Linked DNA regions of Stegostoma tigrinum. The protein of the gene in region 1 purifies or fractionates together with the protein of each later gene. This does not show direct contact. Links are inferred from orthologs where the notes say so. Each region holds a gene or a part of one and is shown on either strand. Other genes may lie near its edges. The genes, in order: swsap1 and spidr.

What was found.
Region 2: the proteins of swsap1 (region 1) and spidr purify together in Homo sapiens (co-immunoprecipitation; 3 studies listed by BioGRID and IntAct, with this or other methods). This does not show direct contact. The link is inferred for Stegostoma tigrinum from reciprocal best matches to the Homo sapiens genes SWSAP1 and SPIDR.

The regions. Positions count from the first base shown.
Region 1 is NC_081388.1:14,337,499-14,345,762, reverse strand, and holds the start of swsap1 (ATPase SWSAP1), read left to right. Parts: upstream 1-5,227; 5' UTR 5,228-5,251; coding exon 5,252-5,758; intron 5,759-8,190; coding exon 8,191-8,264. UniProt on the Homo sapiens protein: ATPase which is preferentially stimulated by single-stranded DNA and is involved in homologous recombination repair (HRR). Has a DNA-binding activity which is independent of its ATPase activity.
Region 2 is NC_081358.1:72,679,408-72,686,723, reverse strand, and holds the start of spidr (DNA repair-scaffolding protein), read left to right. Parts: upstream 1-4,310; 5' UTR 4,311-6,049; coding exon 6,050-6,067; intron 6,068-7,316. UniProt on the Homo sapiens protein: Plays a role in DNA double-strand break (DBS) repair via homologous recombination (HR).

The DNA.
Region 1 (8,264 bases):
TGGAGAATCCAAGATAACAAAGTGTGAAGCTGGATGAACACAGGCCAAGCCGCTTCGGCTGTCAATGGGAAAGGGATTGAGGATTGTGGAGAACAGGGAACAGAACACCAGTTTCTGCTGAGGGTAGTCAATCTGTGAAATTCTTTACTGCAGGGGAAGCATGATTAAATATACGCAAGGCTGACATGGACAGATTTTTAATTGATAAGAGAATCAAGGGTGATATTGAAAGTGGATTTAAGCATTATTGGATTAACCATGATCTCATTGAATGGGAGAGCAGTTTAAATGGGCCGAATGGCCTGCTTTTGCTCCCTACACGACAGTGGTTTCCTCCCACAGTCAAAGTTGTGCAGATTAGGTGGATTGGCGGTGCCAAATTGCCCATTGTGTCCAGGAATATGCAGGGTAGGTGGATTAGCTATGCGAAATGCAGGGTTACAGAGCAGGGGGTCCGAGTGGGATGTTGTTCAGAGAATTGGTGTGGACTCGATGGGCCGAATGGCCTGCCTCCATCCTGTGGAATTCTATGATGATTCTATCTAAAATAAAATGACTTTGTGTTCCAAGGCAGGGCATCAACTTTCCTTTAAAAACAATCTCACAATGAAACAAGCTGTCACAGGAAATAGTCATGGGCTCCAGCGCTTGATATCCTCATATTTAATTTTTACATTGAAATTTTTTTCTTCATTTGTTGGAAGTAGGCTTTAGTGTCTGGACCAGCACAGATTCCCTATCCCTATTTGCCCCCAAGCAGATCACCATCATCTTCTCCAGGGAAACTAGGAATGGGCTATGCTTACCCAGCCAGTGATACACACGTCTGCTATATGAATAAAAAACAAAGACTAACATTTCAGCAGGCGTCTAGCCAGGTAATCTCTAGTATTAACCTTGGAAATGTTGGTGGAATATAGATCTTGGTCTATGATCCCAGCTCAGAAGAGGAATTTAGGGAAAACAATTGAATAGAGAATTGGAGTTTTAGAGTAATGGGAGGTTATTTCAGAGAAAAGGGAATTTATTAGAGGGAATAGAATTGAAGAGAAAGAGGGAATTGGAGAAATGGGACTTTAGAGGCCAAGTGGATTAGAAAGGTGGTTTATGGAGAAAGGAGGTTTGGAAAAATAACTTTATGTGCAAAGGGTTTAATTAATGGACAAGAATGGAAAAAGGAAACATTGGTGTAAGGGGTTCTGATGAACTGAATTGGATAGATTGCCTTTTTTGCTGTTAAAAAGAAATCACAAATAAAAATTTGATGTAAAATGTGCCTTTTTCTAGTTTATACATATCTACTTTGTGATTTTTTTTCAGTTCATGGCAATATTCCAGATGTGTCTTTTCTGTTTCGTTAATTAATATCTGTCTACAGGACCTCTTCATTTCAGGTTGAAAACGTCAAGTTCCTCCAGTCTTCCCTTATTACTCAATTAAAGCTAGGATGAAAACTTTTATCCACACTGCATCCTGCTCTTGTGTTGTCCTTTTTTATTATTGATTCATTGGATGAGGGCATCACTGGCTAGGCAGCATTTATTGCCAGGAGGGCAGTTAACAGTGAACCCCATTGCTGTGGGTTTGGAGTCACATGTAGGCCAGACCAGGTAAGGATGGTAGTTTCTTTTCCTAAAGGACATTAATGAGGCAGATGTGTTTTTCCTGACAATTAACAATGGTTTTATAATCTCCATTAGACTTTAATTTCACATTTTTATTGAATTCAGATTCCACCATCTGCCATAGCAGGATTCAAACCCAGGTCCCCAGAACATTGTCTGGGTCTTAACAGTTATCGTAGTCAAATTTCCAAATTCCCATTGAGTTTTCAAAATGTGCCACGGTGGTATTCAGACCCATGTCCTCAGAACATTAGCCTGGAATTCTGGAATACTCATCCAGCAACATTACTACAACACCATTGCCTCACAAAATCCCAATAATTGAAAAGTAGCAAATTACATGCAATATTTTGATCCGGCATCAGATGCACCACCCTATCCCCAGTTTACAAGGTAACAATTCAACTGGTAAATCAAAAACTAATGTCAGTAATGATGTTCAGTTATCAAGGTCATTACTACTGAGCTTAAGTTTCACTTTATCAGGTGAATGTAATTTCCATCAGCTGCTGATGTGTGACCTAAAGCTGTATCCCCAGAATAGGCAGCCTGGGCCTCTGAGGTATGAGTCCATGCCATTGCCACTATTTCCATATTCCTAGCTCCTCTGCATTTGTCAGAGGCACAAGATCAAAAATTAAATTTGATATGAGAATTTTCATCAAGCATTGAACAACAGTCCCTATAAGTAACAAAAATAGAAATTGCTGGAAAAGCTTAGCGGATCTGGCAGCAATTGTGGAAGGGTAAAAAACTGAGGTAATGTTTTGAGTCGTACAAAGAAGAACCATGTTTTGAAGCATTAACACTGCTTCTCCACAGATGCTGCCTGACCAGCTGAGCTTTTCCAGCAATTTCTGTTCTTGTTTCTGATTAACAATGTCTGAATTTCTTTGAGTTGTTATTTAGCCCTATGAGTGAATGATTCTAATTCATTAGAATCTACCATCACCCTGCTGCGATGTCGAAAGAGTGGTACGTGATCTGCACATTCATATATCTCATTTATTTCCCCCTCTTCGAATTTTGAGTGTTCCGCTTTTGAAAATAACAAGCAGTAAACATGTGGCTTCATATAAAATCAAAGGTTAGTTAATTACACAATGTCAAGTAATGAGAGAGGAATGTGATAACTATTAGTTAAAATAAAGACACAAAGATTAAATGTAGATGCTGATAAAAGATACTTATAATGATTAGAAAAACCACAGAATTGTTACGGTGCCAGGTGAGCACATTTGGACCATCATACCTGAAACAGCTCTTGAAATAAATAAGCTCAATCTCTTGCAGCCTGTTAATTGCTTGAAGATTTGTTTTTCTAAGGTGAAGAAGTTCAAAAGATGAATTCAGGAGCTTAGATGGCTTCAGTAGTTGAATGTTGTTTGTACTGGTGGAGTCAGTAGCTCGTGCAGGCTTTGAATGAGTGAGAGATTTCTTGTTCCTCACTAGTTGTTAATGCCACTTACCAACTGCTACGACTCTTCCCGCAGAACAGTGGTTGATTCCAGAAAGTCCTTTTCCTTGCACTCTGGTTTATTGAGAATCTTCTCTCTGAGCACGTTTAGTCAGAGTCCTTCCTGAGGAGTTCTCTGTTAAGACAGTGTCTCTGAGAATTTTATGCAAATAAAATTTAAGTTGTTTGTCAAAATTCGATTTGGTGAAGAGTGAGGTTATGCATTTGCGAAAAACAAACAAAGCAAAGCAATATACCACAAACAGGAGGGTTTTGAGGAAGTGAGAGACCTTTGAGTGTATGTTGACATGTGCTTAACGATGGCAGGATGTGGAGGTAAGTTCATAAAAAAGCTAAAGTGAATGCTTTCCTCCATTGGGCAAGATATTGAAAAGCCAGGCCATTCACCATCCTCACTTGGAAAGATATCATCATTCCTTCAGTGCCGCTGGGTCAAAATTGCAGAATTCCCTCTCTAATGGGCCTATACATGGAATGCAGTGGTTCAAGCAAGCAGCTTAACACCATCTTTTCAGGAGCAACTGGAGTTGGGCAATAAATGCTGGGCTAGTCAGTGATGCCCATGTGCCGTGAGTGAATAAAAAAAGAGGAATGGTATGCTGGAACAATATAAGTCACTGATTAGGCCATCACTGTAATTTTCTACACTGATCTGATCACCACATTACAGGAAGTACATAATTCTCATTAAGAGAGCACAGGGAAGATACACAAGAATGTTATCAGGTTTTGAAAATTGGAGATAATAAGGTGGCGAGTTGGATGAACACAGCAGGCCAAACAGCATCAGAGGAGCAGGAAAGCTGACGTTTCGGGCCTAGACCCTTTGCATTTCAAAAGGAATCTGATCTGCCCCTGAAATGCTGTAACCTGCAAGACTATAGCCAGGTGTTGCTAAGTGAGACTACACTGAGTGGCTAATGTATTCAGCCATGCAGACACAGTGGGCTGAATGGATTCTTTGTAAATTTTCTGTCTCCGTCCCCTAAATGGTATTGAAGAACCTGATGAGTATTTTTTTTAATAAGAGTTTTCCCTTTGTGTTAATTTAACTTGCATCTGCTGCTATGGTAGCAGGCATGTTGATTCCACTCACAGGTGAAACTAAAGCTAGGGGCATAGCCTCAAAATAAAGGGGAGCAGATTCAGGACTGAGTTGAGGAGGAACATCTCCCCCCGAGAGTTGTCAATTTGTGGAATTCCCTGCCCAGTGAAGCAGTGAACATTTTTAAGGCAATGATAGGACTTTGAACAGTGGAAGGATTAGGCATTATGGTGAACACATGGGTAAGCGGAGCTAAGTGCATGAAACTGATCAACCATGATCTTATTGAATGGCAGAGCAGGGTTGAGGGGCCTGATGGCTTCCTCCTGCTCTTACTTCTTATGGTGGGATTAAACTCATTTCCTCAGGCCATTAGTCTGTGGTTCTGGGTGGCTAGTCTCACTATATACCACTTCCCCTTTAATTTGCAGACCAGAGTTGAAATCAATTCAGAATGTTTTTCATAGAAACGTTTTTATTTATATCATTTAGCAGATTGGCCTTCAATTCTTAAACGGTGTCTCCCTATATTTTGGTGTCCAGACCCGAAATATCAGCTTTCCTGCTCCTCTGATGCTGCGTGGCCTGCTGTGTTCATCCAGCTTCACACTGTGTTATCTCTACACCTTGTTATCTCATATTCTCCAGCATCGGCATTTCCTACTATCTCTATATTTTCTATTTTTTTTTAAAGATCTTTACAAAAAAATACTGGCAATGAGGAGTGGGTCAGGGAATGCACTTTGGAAGTTGAGCATCACCTAGTTAAAGAAATAAAAAACCAGCAGGTCTAGCTCTACCTGAGGGAAAGCAACAGTTTGCAGCCTCGTGTGACTGCTGCAGAACTTAATGAACAGCTTGCACAGCCAATGAAGATTGTGAGGCGGATGAACCCCTCAAAAAAATTTGCAGATAAATTGGGCAATTTTAATAGCATTTAAGATGCTAGTATTCCAAATTTGGACCCAACTGTTTTCGGAAGTTCAGCATAAACTTTGCTTTAGTATTCGGCAGTCTGAGGTCCTGGGAATGGATATATTGAAAGTATCCAAAGCGGGGTTTTGTTACTTGTGAACCAGGAAGTGCATCAGTTTTGAATGAGGGATGGCGGAGGTTTTGTTGCATGTTCTCTGCTCTCACAGCGAGGCAGAGAGCAGGATTGATATAGCCAAGGGTTGGGGAGCCAGGGACCTAGGGGCTTGCCTGCTGCTGGGTGAGGAGTCCCCTGGGAGGAGATCCCTCCTGTTCCTGGCGGCGGCCGAAGCCGCAGGCCAGTGGGGGAAGCGAGTGCTCTTCCTCTCCCCGAGCCCGGTGCAGGCGCTGCCCGCCCCGCTGCTGCTGCTGGAGCCCGGTAGCCTCCGGAGGATTCAGTTCGCCTACCCCAGGACGGCGGGGGGGCTGCTGGAAGCGTTAGCGTGCTTGCATGAGAGCCCCCGCAGCCTGCTGCCCTCTCTGCTCTTGCTGGACGGGCTGGACCGGTACTTGCAGGGCTGCGGGCAGGACACGCCTCAGCAAGCGGCCAGGATCGCTGCCCTGCTCCGGGACAGTGCCTGCTGGCTCAGTGAGAAACTACAGCCCGGTACAGAGTGTCAGGTCATTGCAACACTGAAGGTGGAGAGCAAAAGCGCACAGCTCGCTGGCAAACTGCAATTCATTCGAAATAGTCATTCTTAAAACATTGTGTATTTGTTCCACCATAAATTAACCATTATAATTAACTCATACAAAGCAAGAGAGGCTATTCGGCCCATTGGATTTGTACCAGCCAAATCTACACTAAGTGTAAATCTAGTCTAAAAGGAGACCTTGAAACTTGAAAGGATTCAAAGAAAGACGTACAGGGATGTTGCTAAGGTGGAGTGTTTGAGCAGTAGGGGTAGGCTGAATAGGCTGGGGCTATTTTCCTTGGGGCATCAGAGGCTGAGGGGTGACCTTTCATCGAGGTTCATGAAGGGATGGAAAAAGTGAATGGCCAATGTCTTTTCCCCAGGGTAGGGAATCCACAACTGCAGGGCATAGGTTTAGGGTGAGAGGGGAAAGATTTAAGAGACATAAGGGGCAACTTTTTTCACCAGAAGGTGGTGCGTGTATGGAATGAGCTGCCAGAGGAACTGGTGGAGGCTGGTACAATTACAGCATTTAAAAGGCATCTGGATGGGTACTTGAATAGTATCAGAGATAATGGGAACTGCAGGGTCTAGGCCCGAAACGTCAGCTTTTGTGCTCTTGAGATGCTGCTTGGCCTGCTGTGTTCATCCAGCTTCACACTTTATTATCTTGGGTACTTGAATAGGAAGGGTTTAGAGGGAAATGGGCCAAATGCTGGCAAAAGGGTCAAGATTAATTTGGAACATCTGGTCAGCATAGATGAGTTGAACCGATGGGTCTGTTTCCTTGCTGTACAACTCTATAATTCTAAATTTAAACTAAATATATACTAATCCCACTTTCCAGCACTTGGCCTATTGCCTTGAATATTATGACATTTCAAGTGCTCACCCGTGTACTTTGTAAAAGTAGTGAGGTTACTCTCCCAAGCTATATGTGTGTTAAAACTGTGAGAATTATTATTTAAAATATATTTCTTATATTTTCTATAGAATGGTGATATAATCTGGTTTTATTTATCTAATGTTTTGCCATTACAATTAAATCTATAAAAAAAACTTCATTCTGAGTTCGTGTAATTTTAGCATCATGTTTATGTGTTTTTATTCTCGTATTTTTAAATATCTTTGTTGTATTTAATGTAGAATTATAGATGCATAATGCATTCTGGTTTTATTCTGTACATCAGGCTATAAAGCTGGATGAACTCCATTGTGTATCTCCCTAATGCAAAGAGATGCTGGTTTGTTTTGTGGACTATGGCAAATTGTTTATTCTGAGGACCTTTTCTCAGATTTGTTATTGTCGTAAAATGTCTTTATTCTAATTTTAGTTTACTCAATTTTTAGCATCATTTCAGTCTTATATTTTGATAATACATATTTCATTACTTTTATTTGTTATAGTTTGCTCATTTTTGTCTTTTCCCAATACTTTTATTTAAAAAATAACTTTTACCTTGTGTTTGTCCAATTCTACAACAATCTACAGCGGGGAAGCAATGCATAGTGAGTTAGAGCCTGTCAAATAGTCATCTTTAGATTGGTCCCCATGAGCAAGGGAGATGACACCAAAGGATAGAAAGAGATTAAGATTTTTTTTAAGAAAGTGAAAATTGGAAAAGTGCTAGAAGCCATTAAAGCAAAGTTAGAACTTAAAATAAAATGAGGAAGGGAATAGGATTAAGGGACAAAAGCTAACAGGCTTAGTTACTTAGAACGAGAGGAAAAGCTCATGGTCATAAAAGGCATGATGTAACTTTGAGATCTCCAAGGCACAGTGTAGCCAGTGCAGTATTTTCCAGTTTAGTTGCTGAAGTAGAGTTTGGAAACCAATTTACATTCAGTATGTTTCCATCAACAGCAACATGATGAGGACCAGATAACTTTGAAAATTCTGTAGTCATGAAACTTATTATTTTATAATGCTCCTAGGGAGTTTCCACTGGACTTTGATTGAGGTATGTAAGGTCCTCAATGGTGTTGAACATTGATAGGGTGGTTCCTCCTGTGAGTCAATCTAAAATTAGGAGGGCACTGTTTTTGAAGATCGGGGTTACCCTTTGAGGCCAGAGGAGAAGAAGAGACTTTTTTATTTCTCTCAACGATTTTGGACCTCTGTTTCAGAAGTTGGTGGAGAATAGGTCATTGAATGTTTTTGAGGCAGAGGCGATGGATTCTTGTTAACCAGTGGAATCCAGAGTTATTGCGGGGGTGGGGGGGGTAGATAGGAATGTGGAATTCAAAACCCAGACTGATCTTATTCAATACTGCAGCATGCTGTACAGGCCAAATGGCCTACTTCTGATCCTAACTTTGTACGTGCATCCCAGGGAACAGACTGTAGAGCTGCTCGCTGCTGCAGACACCTTGCTTGCTGATTTTTTACTTTCAACATTAACCAATAGTGACTGATCAGCTCTTTTTTCTCTTTAGGCTCCGATTCAAGAAGACAATGCGGCAGATCCGTTCCTGCCTATTATCGAGCGCTACATTCCAGTGAAGTGCAC
Region 2 (7,316 bases), on another chromosome or scaffold:
CACAGATGTACAGGATTGGTAGATTCGCCATGGGCTTCCACACTAGGGATTATATACAACACAACTTGTGGCTACACTGCTGGTACCCCCACATTCTTATCTGCACATTGTGTCGTCTCACATTCATGCTTTTCAGTCATCCTCTAATAATGCCATCCTTCCCTCTTCACACAATTCTCTTCTCATACAGCTCTGCTATTTTGCTTTGCAGGAAGAAGATAATGCACAACTCTGAGGAAAGGCAGAAACTGGAAATAGCACCTCTAGTAACAGACACTTTGAGCACTGAAGTACATGAGCACATGATCTACTGGGAAGCTTGTCTTGTTTCAGGAGGCCTCCGATGTCAACAGTAACCTGCTGTGAGAGCCTAAGACGTTGGTTCCCTCATGTCAAGAGGGATGATCATCTGCCTATGTTGGGAAGTTGCGCCTCCGTCCAGTTTGATATCTGTGCCAAACAGGTCTGCCCTTTGCAGCAGCATTTTGCTGAGGGGAAGACAACTGGTATTGCTGTTGGTTTTGGTGATGCTGTGCTTGATACTCATTCAAATTGCAAGACACAGATATATATGCTGTAGAATTGCTCCAGTGAAGACTGGCAGCAGGATAGTGCAGACAAAGTTTACCAAAACCAGGCAGGGTGAGTTGACTTCCAAGAAGATGGAGATTACTTGTCAAGAAGCAGAAAACCATGCTGAGAAGAAATGTTGTGAACAGCCACTTACCTGCCCTGTTTGTTGCTATGGCTTCCTGGTCAGTAGTTTTATTACAGTAGCATTCCCATTGTCCTGTTGTTTTCCTGCTCCTGCAAAGGTATAAATAGCTCAGAAAATTCATGCACTCTCTGTTAAAGCCAAGATACCTACTTACATTAATAGTTAATTGAGAACATAGGACCATAGGATTTAGGAGTAGCAGTAGGTCACTTAGCTCTTTGAACCTGATCCACCACTTAATATGATCATTACTGATCTGATTTTGCTATGAACTCCACTTTCCTTTCTGGTTCCCCTTCAGACATAAGATCTGAAGCCCTTGTCCATCAAAAATCTAACTCAGCCTTGAAAATATTTAGTGACCCAGACCCTACAGCTGTTTGTCGAAGATAATTCTTGTATGTTTCAATCAGATAATCTTTGACTGTTCTGAACTCGTAAGGGTTATAGTTCCATCTGTTCAATCTTTCTTAACTACAACTATGATGGAGTAGTCAATTAGACCCTGATGGCCTTTCCCACTGTTTAGCATGATAATGTCTGATCTTCCACATTGATTCTGTCATCCTGCAATATCCCCATATCCCGTACTTCCCAAAAATCTATCATTTACATCTTGCATATACTCAATAACTAAATGTTTACAACTTGTTGGTGTAAAGAATTTCTAAAAGTTTACAGCTCTTGAAAAACTTTTTCCATATCTCAGAACTAAATGACTGATCTTTTATTCTGGGACTGAAAGTCCTTTAACACTGCCCATTTTAAAATCAAAAGCAAACATTTTCAAATTCATGACATGACACAACACCTTTCAGGGCTTTAATTCTCCACCTATTCCCAAATGCATCTCATCTTAACAGTTAAATTTTTCCCCTTATCCTCAACAGTTTCTTGATTCCAAGAACAGAGAGTCAAGACAAGGGATAATGGGAACTGCAGATGCTGGAGAATCCAAGATAACAAAGTGTGAAGCTGGATGAACACAGCAGGCCAAGCAGCATCTCAGGAGCACAAAAGCTGACGTTTCAGGCCTGGACCCTGCATCAGAGAGCGCTCTCTGTCTAGGCCCGATTTGTCAATTTTTGTGCTCCTGAGATGCTGCTTGGCCTGCTGTGTTCATCCAGCTTCACACTTTGTTGTCTTAGTCAAGACAAGTGGGTAATTTTCTGTTTGCAAAACTGGAACTAGTAGAGTGCTGCATGAAAAAAGTGAGGGGGCTCTAATTATTTACAATGAATATTAAATTGTACACAGTTTGTGTCGCAGCAAAGAGGACAATAACAACCATAGGTATGAAAGTGAGTTCTGACGAGGACATGAGAAGTGGAAATTAGTCCAATTCTTGGGTCTTGTGGAGGAGTTGCTGGCTAAGGATTTGGCAGGGTTGAGCAGAGAAGAATAGGTTGTCCTTAATCCTAGCATTTGCCGCTAGTTGAATACCTGTAGTGATGGGATATGGCCTTTCATCATAGAATCCCTACAGTGCAAACAGCAGCCATTTGACCCATCAAATCCACACCGAACCTCTGAAGAGCATGCCATGTAGACCCAGCCCAATCCCCATAACCCCACATTTACCATGGCTAATCGATCTAGCCTACACACCTCTGGACACTATAGGCAATTTTTAAAATAACCAATCCACCTAGCGCACACACCTTTGGACTGTGGGAGAAAACCCACACAGACACAGGAGTATGTGAAAACTCCACAGAGACAGTCACCCAAGTCTGGAATTGAACCTGGGTCTCTGGCACTGCAAGGCAGCAGTGCTAGCCATAGAGCCATCATGCTGCTCAAGTGGGCATCAATGACCAATTTAAAGGGAAATTACTGGGTAGATAGTAAAAGATAATGCCTCTAATCTAGAATCCAAATGCCCAATTTCCCAGTGATACAATTTCAATCCCACCGTGGCAGTTGCTGCAATTTAAATTCAATTAATTAGTAAATAGGGAATTGAAAATAGCTCAGAAATAATGACCATAAAACTATAATCAGTTGTTGTGAAAACTACCAGGTTTGTCAGTGACTTTTAGGGAAAGACATCTGATATTACCTGAACTAGCTTTCATGTGATCAGAGATAATGGGAATTGCAGATGCTGGAGAATCCGAGATAACAAAGTGTGGAGCTGGATGAACACAGCAGGCCAAGCAGCATCTTAGGAGCACAAAAGTTTATGTTTCGAGCCTAGACCCATCTAGGCCTGAAATGTCAGCTTTTGTGCTCCTAAGATGCTGCTTGGCCTGCTGTGTTCATCCAGCTCCACACTTTGTTACCTCTGGCTTTCATGTGACTTCACGTATACAACATTGTGACTTAACTGCCTCTGAAATAAAAATAAAAATTCAGCTCAAGGGTAATTAGGAATGAGGAACTGATGTCTGCCTTGCTAGAGATGTTTCTATCCCATGAAAGAATAAATAAAAGAATTGCTGTCAGTGTGGAAGCCTGACCACAACCTTTCCTATCCTAGGCTAAATGGGGGCAGAGTTGGAATGGCAGCAATGGTGCCACCTCTGCCAAACTCACATCAGGGGATAGCTTTAAATTCTCCCCAAAGAGTGTGTAATTGGACATATTTAAATCAGTGGACAAAAATTTGGCAAATAGTCTTTTTGAGTAAGATGTGAGATTGGTAGAAAGAATAGAAAATTATTGTTTAGTATTTTTAAGTGGAAGGATGTTGCAGAATATTATTGAAATGTAGTCTGTTGAATGCTGTCATCTTGACGGATTTGGGTAACCTGTACATGAAGCACAGGAAAACTGAAGTAAAAATTTGACATTTATCCCAAGGAGAATGGAGAATAAAAAGAGAAACCTTACTTCACTGTACAAATGAATGTTTGTTAATAAACTATATCTTTGTTTTATTTTATTCCCTTCTAGGACATGAGCATTACTGGTTGAGCCAACATTTATTGCCCACCTTGAGTTGCCCTGGCAAAGGTGATGTTGAGCTGCCTTCTTGAACCACTGCAGTCTGTGTTTGGAAACATAACTGACTTGTCCCAGATGCAGGGTGCCATTGACTGCACATGTTGCACTCAAGAGATGGCCAGTTCAAAGCAGCAGAGTGGGAATCATGTGATTAATGGTCACCAACCACATCTAACTGAAACCAAATACTATAAGCTGGCAAGAAAGAAACAGGTAGCAATTCTCTCCAAAATGACACTGGTTTGCAATAAGCAAAAAATGAACAATACCCATTGTGATTAGACCCACAGTGTTGCTACAGAGGGAATTCCAGGATTTTGACCCTTCGTTTCACGTTAGAAGCATTGTGCTGCAGTTTAATCTCAAAAATAGAATCTGAAAACAAGAGTTTGGGGAACAATGTTGGTCTAATATAAAGTGCATGATTAACAGAAAACATTACATAGAACCAATCTATCACGTCTTGACCTTAAGAGGTGTAAAGCAATCATAAATTAGTCATTCGGGTCCAGTCACCTTTGCTCAGAACCGGACCTGAAACGTTAACTCTTGTTTTCTCCTTCACAGATGCTGCCCGACCTGCTAAGCTTTTCCAGCAACTTAGTATTAATTTAGTTAACCTGTCATAAATTCATGGAGCTTTTGAAAATTCATTCACAGGATATAGGCATCAATAGCAAGGCTAGCATTAATTCTCATTCTTAACTTCCCAGAGGAAGGTTAAGATTCAATCACACAAGTACACAGGAAATTAAGAAAGGACAGAAGAGGAGATGGATTATAATTTACAAGTTTTGGGAAATTCAGAAGTATTAAAAATCAGTTTATCTGGAGTTATATTTTAACAGAGAGGAGTATCCATTACCCCTGCTACCCTAGTCAAGTAGTAACTTGGAATCCCAGAACTGTAGAAGCAATTCATCCGTCCTGATTTCAGTCATGTGACAAGGCCAGGCATTCAGGTGCCGATTGCCTATTTTAGTGTGCTAATTAGAAGGCTGTTAAACTGAGTATAGTTTTACTCCCCCATTAGGGTTTCCATTGTGAGGTAATAAGATGACAAAAGCTTTAGCATAAGTTAATAATTGATATTTTCCTTTGTCCAGAGATGGATAGAAGCAGGCAGCTTGACTCCAAGATCCTTTGTTTGTTTTAGTTGGAATGTTTGCACAATGTGAGGATTCAGAAGCTTCTGGAAATATGATCAGCCAAAACCTTTTCATTGTCCAGCAAGGGTGTTCTCTTTTTAAGAAGGAGATTTTAAACTCAGGCATAAAGAAGAGTATACAGTTTTCTTTGGAATTTCTCTTCATGCCTTCTAGCTATGACATAAATCATAACAAATAAACTAACTCTTCTCAGAAACAACAGTTTAGATATGCGGTGGGCTATTCCAAAGATTCCAAGTTAACTCATTCAGGCTAACTGCCTTATACAACAAAACTAAAATACCTCACATTTCAAGACTCAGTTGAGGAACAATTGCTTTGCTCAAAGTGTTATCAAACTTTGGAATTCCCTACCTCAAGGATTGGACTTGGAATATATTTAAGGATGAGTTAAATTTTATATCTTTTAGGGAGTGAAGATTTATGGGTGAGAAGAAGTGGTACAAAGGTCACCATCAGATCTGTCCTGCAAGCTGTGTCTGTTGGTAACCATTCAGTAGGTATGAAAGATACAATTTTGTTTCGGGTTATGATTTTGTTACTTTCAGAGTATTAATGTGGCAAAATCCTTGGTCGTGCCTATAGAGCTACCTGAGATTGGAAAGGCCATTCTCTCCAGAGTTAAGGGAAGGACCTTTTTTTAAATTGGTGTTATCACTCGTGCCCTGTGATGGATGGGAATCTGTCAGCATTTGTCCCACCTTGTAATTTGTAAATTTGGATTATTTTGTGGATATTAAGCAGTAAGGGAATGGAATGCTTTGCCTGCAACGGTAGTAGATTCACCAACTTTAAGTACATTTAAGTTGTCATTGGACAAGCATATGGATATAGTACATGGAATAGTGTAGGTTAGATGGGCTTCAGGTTGGTATGACAGTTCGGCACAACATCGAAGGCCGAAGGGCCTGTACTGTGCTGTAATGTTCTATGTTCTATAATACTGCATCGGCAGATTGTAGATGGGGTACATAACGTCTTCTCTGGTTTAGTATCTGAATACCTTGACATTTTGTAACTTTTTTGAGAGCAAAATCATGCTGACTAATACATTGTAGCACTGGCATAATTCAGAGAAATCATGCGGGCTCATAGATTGTAGAGCAACTTTACGCAGCCGTAGTTTTGACTCCGCCCACACTGCTGTCGTAACACAGAGGCCAGTGATGCCGGTTGAAGCCTGTGTTTGGGCCTGAGGGGATCGGGCGGCGGCATGTCCAGCAGCAGGAAGGTATGAGGGTACTTTTTAAGGTGTTAATTGCGCGGTATTTACAACGGCGGGGTGTTAGGCAGACAGAAAATGATAGGCTGTTGATGGGGCATCTTAGAGCCCATCTCCTGTCGCCGGGGAAACAGTGCTATTCTCCATGCTGACTTTTACTGGCTGGTGGGCGGGTCAATTCAGTAGCAGACACTGCTCCTACCTCAAGGAAAGCAGAGGCAAACATGGGAAAAAGAACTGCGGATGCTGTAAATCAGGAACAAAAACAAAGTTGCTGGAAAAACTCAGCAGATCTGGCAGCATCTGTGAAGGAGAAAACGGATCTGGTGACCCTTCCTCAGAACAGAAAATGCAGGGAACACTCGGTCATGTGTAGACGAACAGTTTCCTTGCTGTGTGTGTCAGATTTAGGTTGGTCAACAGGAATAGACATGACAGAAATTTCCAAAGGAACAAAGCAAAGGGAAGAACGGGAACATGTTCACGCAAGGGAACACTGATAGTTTATTTAGTAGTCAAAAGACGATGTTTGAAGTGATGGAATTGATGTATATCTGAAATGGAAGTGCGTATCAAGAAAAATCAGGCCAACACTAAATGTGCAGATTTGCGTCATCAATACAAAAATGAGGGTCACTACCCTATATGTTAATTCATTTTCAGTCCTTCCAAAATTCAGACATGCCCATTCTACAACTAGGATCATAGAATCCCTACAGTGTGGAAACAGGCTCTTCAGCCGAACAAGTCCACATTGACCCTCAGAGCATCCCACCCAGATCCATCCCCCTATAACCCACTAATCCACACATTTCTGAACACTACAGGCATTTTAGCATGGCCAATCCAAGACGGTGGGAGTAAACTAGAGCACCTGGAGGAAACCCACACAGACAGGGGGAGAACGTGCAAACACCACACGGACAGTTGCCCAATCCAGGTCCCTGGCGCTGTGAGGCAGCAGTGCTAGCCACCGTGCCACCCATATAAAAGTGTGATCTACTTTTGAAGTTAGCTCCATCTGTTATAGTGCTATTAAGTCACTTGTGGTGATGTGCGTTATTACCAGTGCTCCATCAACTGAAAGATGCTGATAGATGGTAAACAACAGATGGCTTTCTTGATAAGCTTTCCTGCTCCTAAGATGCTGCTTGGCCTGCAATGTTCATCCAGCTCCACACCTTGTTGTCTTGGCTTCCATGCACACTTCACCTGATGCAATGAAACTTCATAGAGCTGAAATCATTGTTGAGAAATC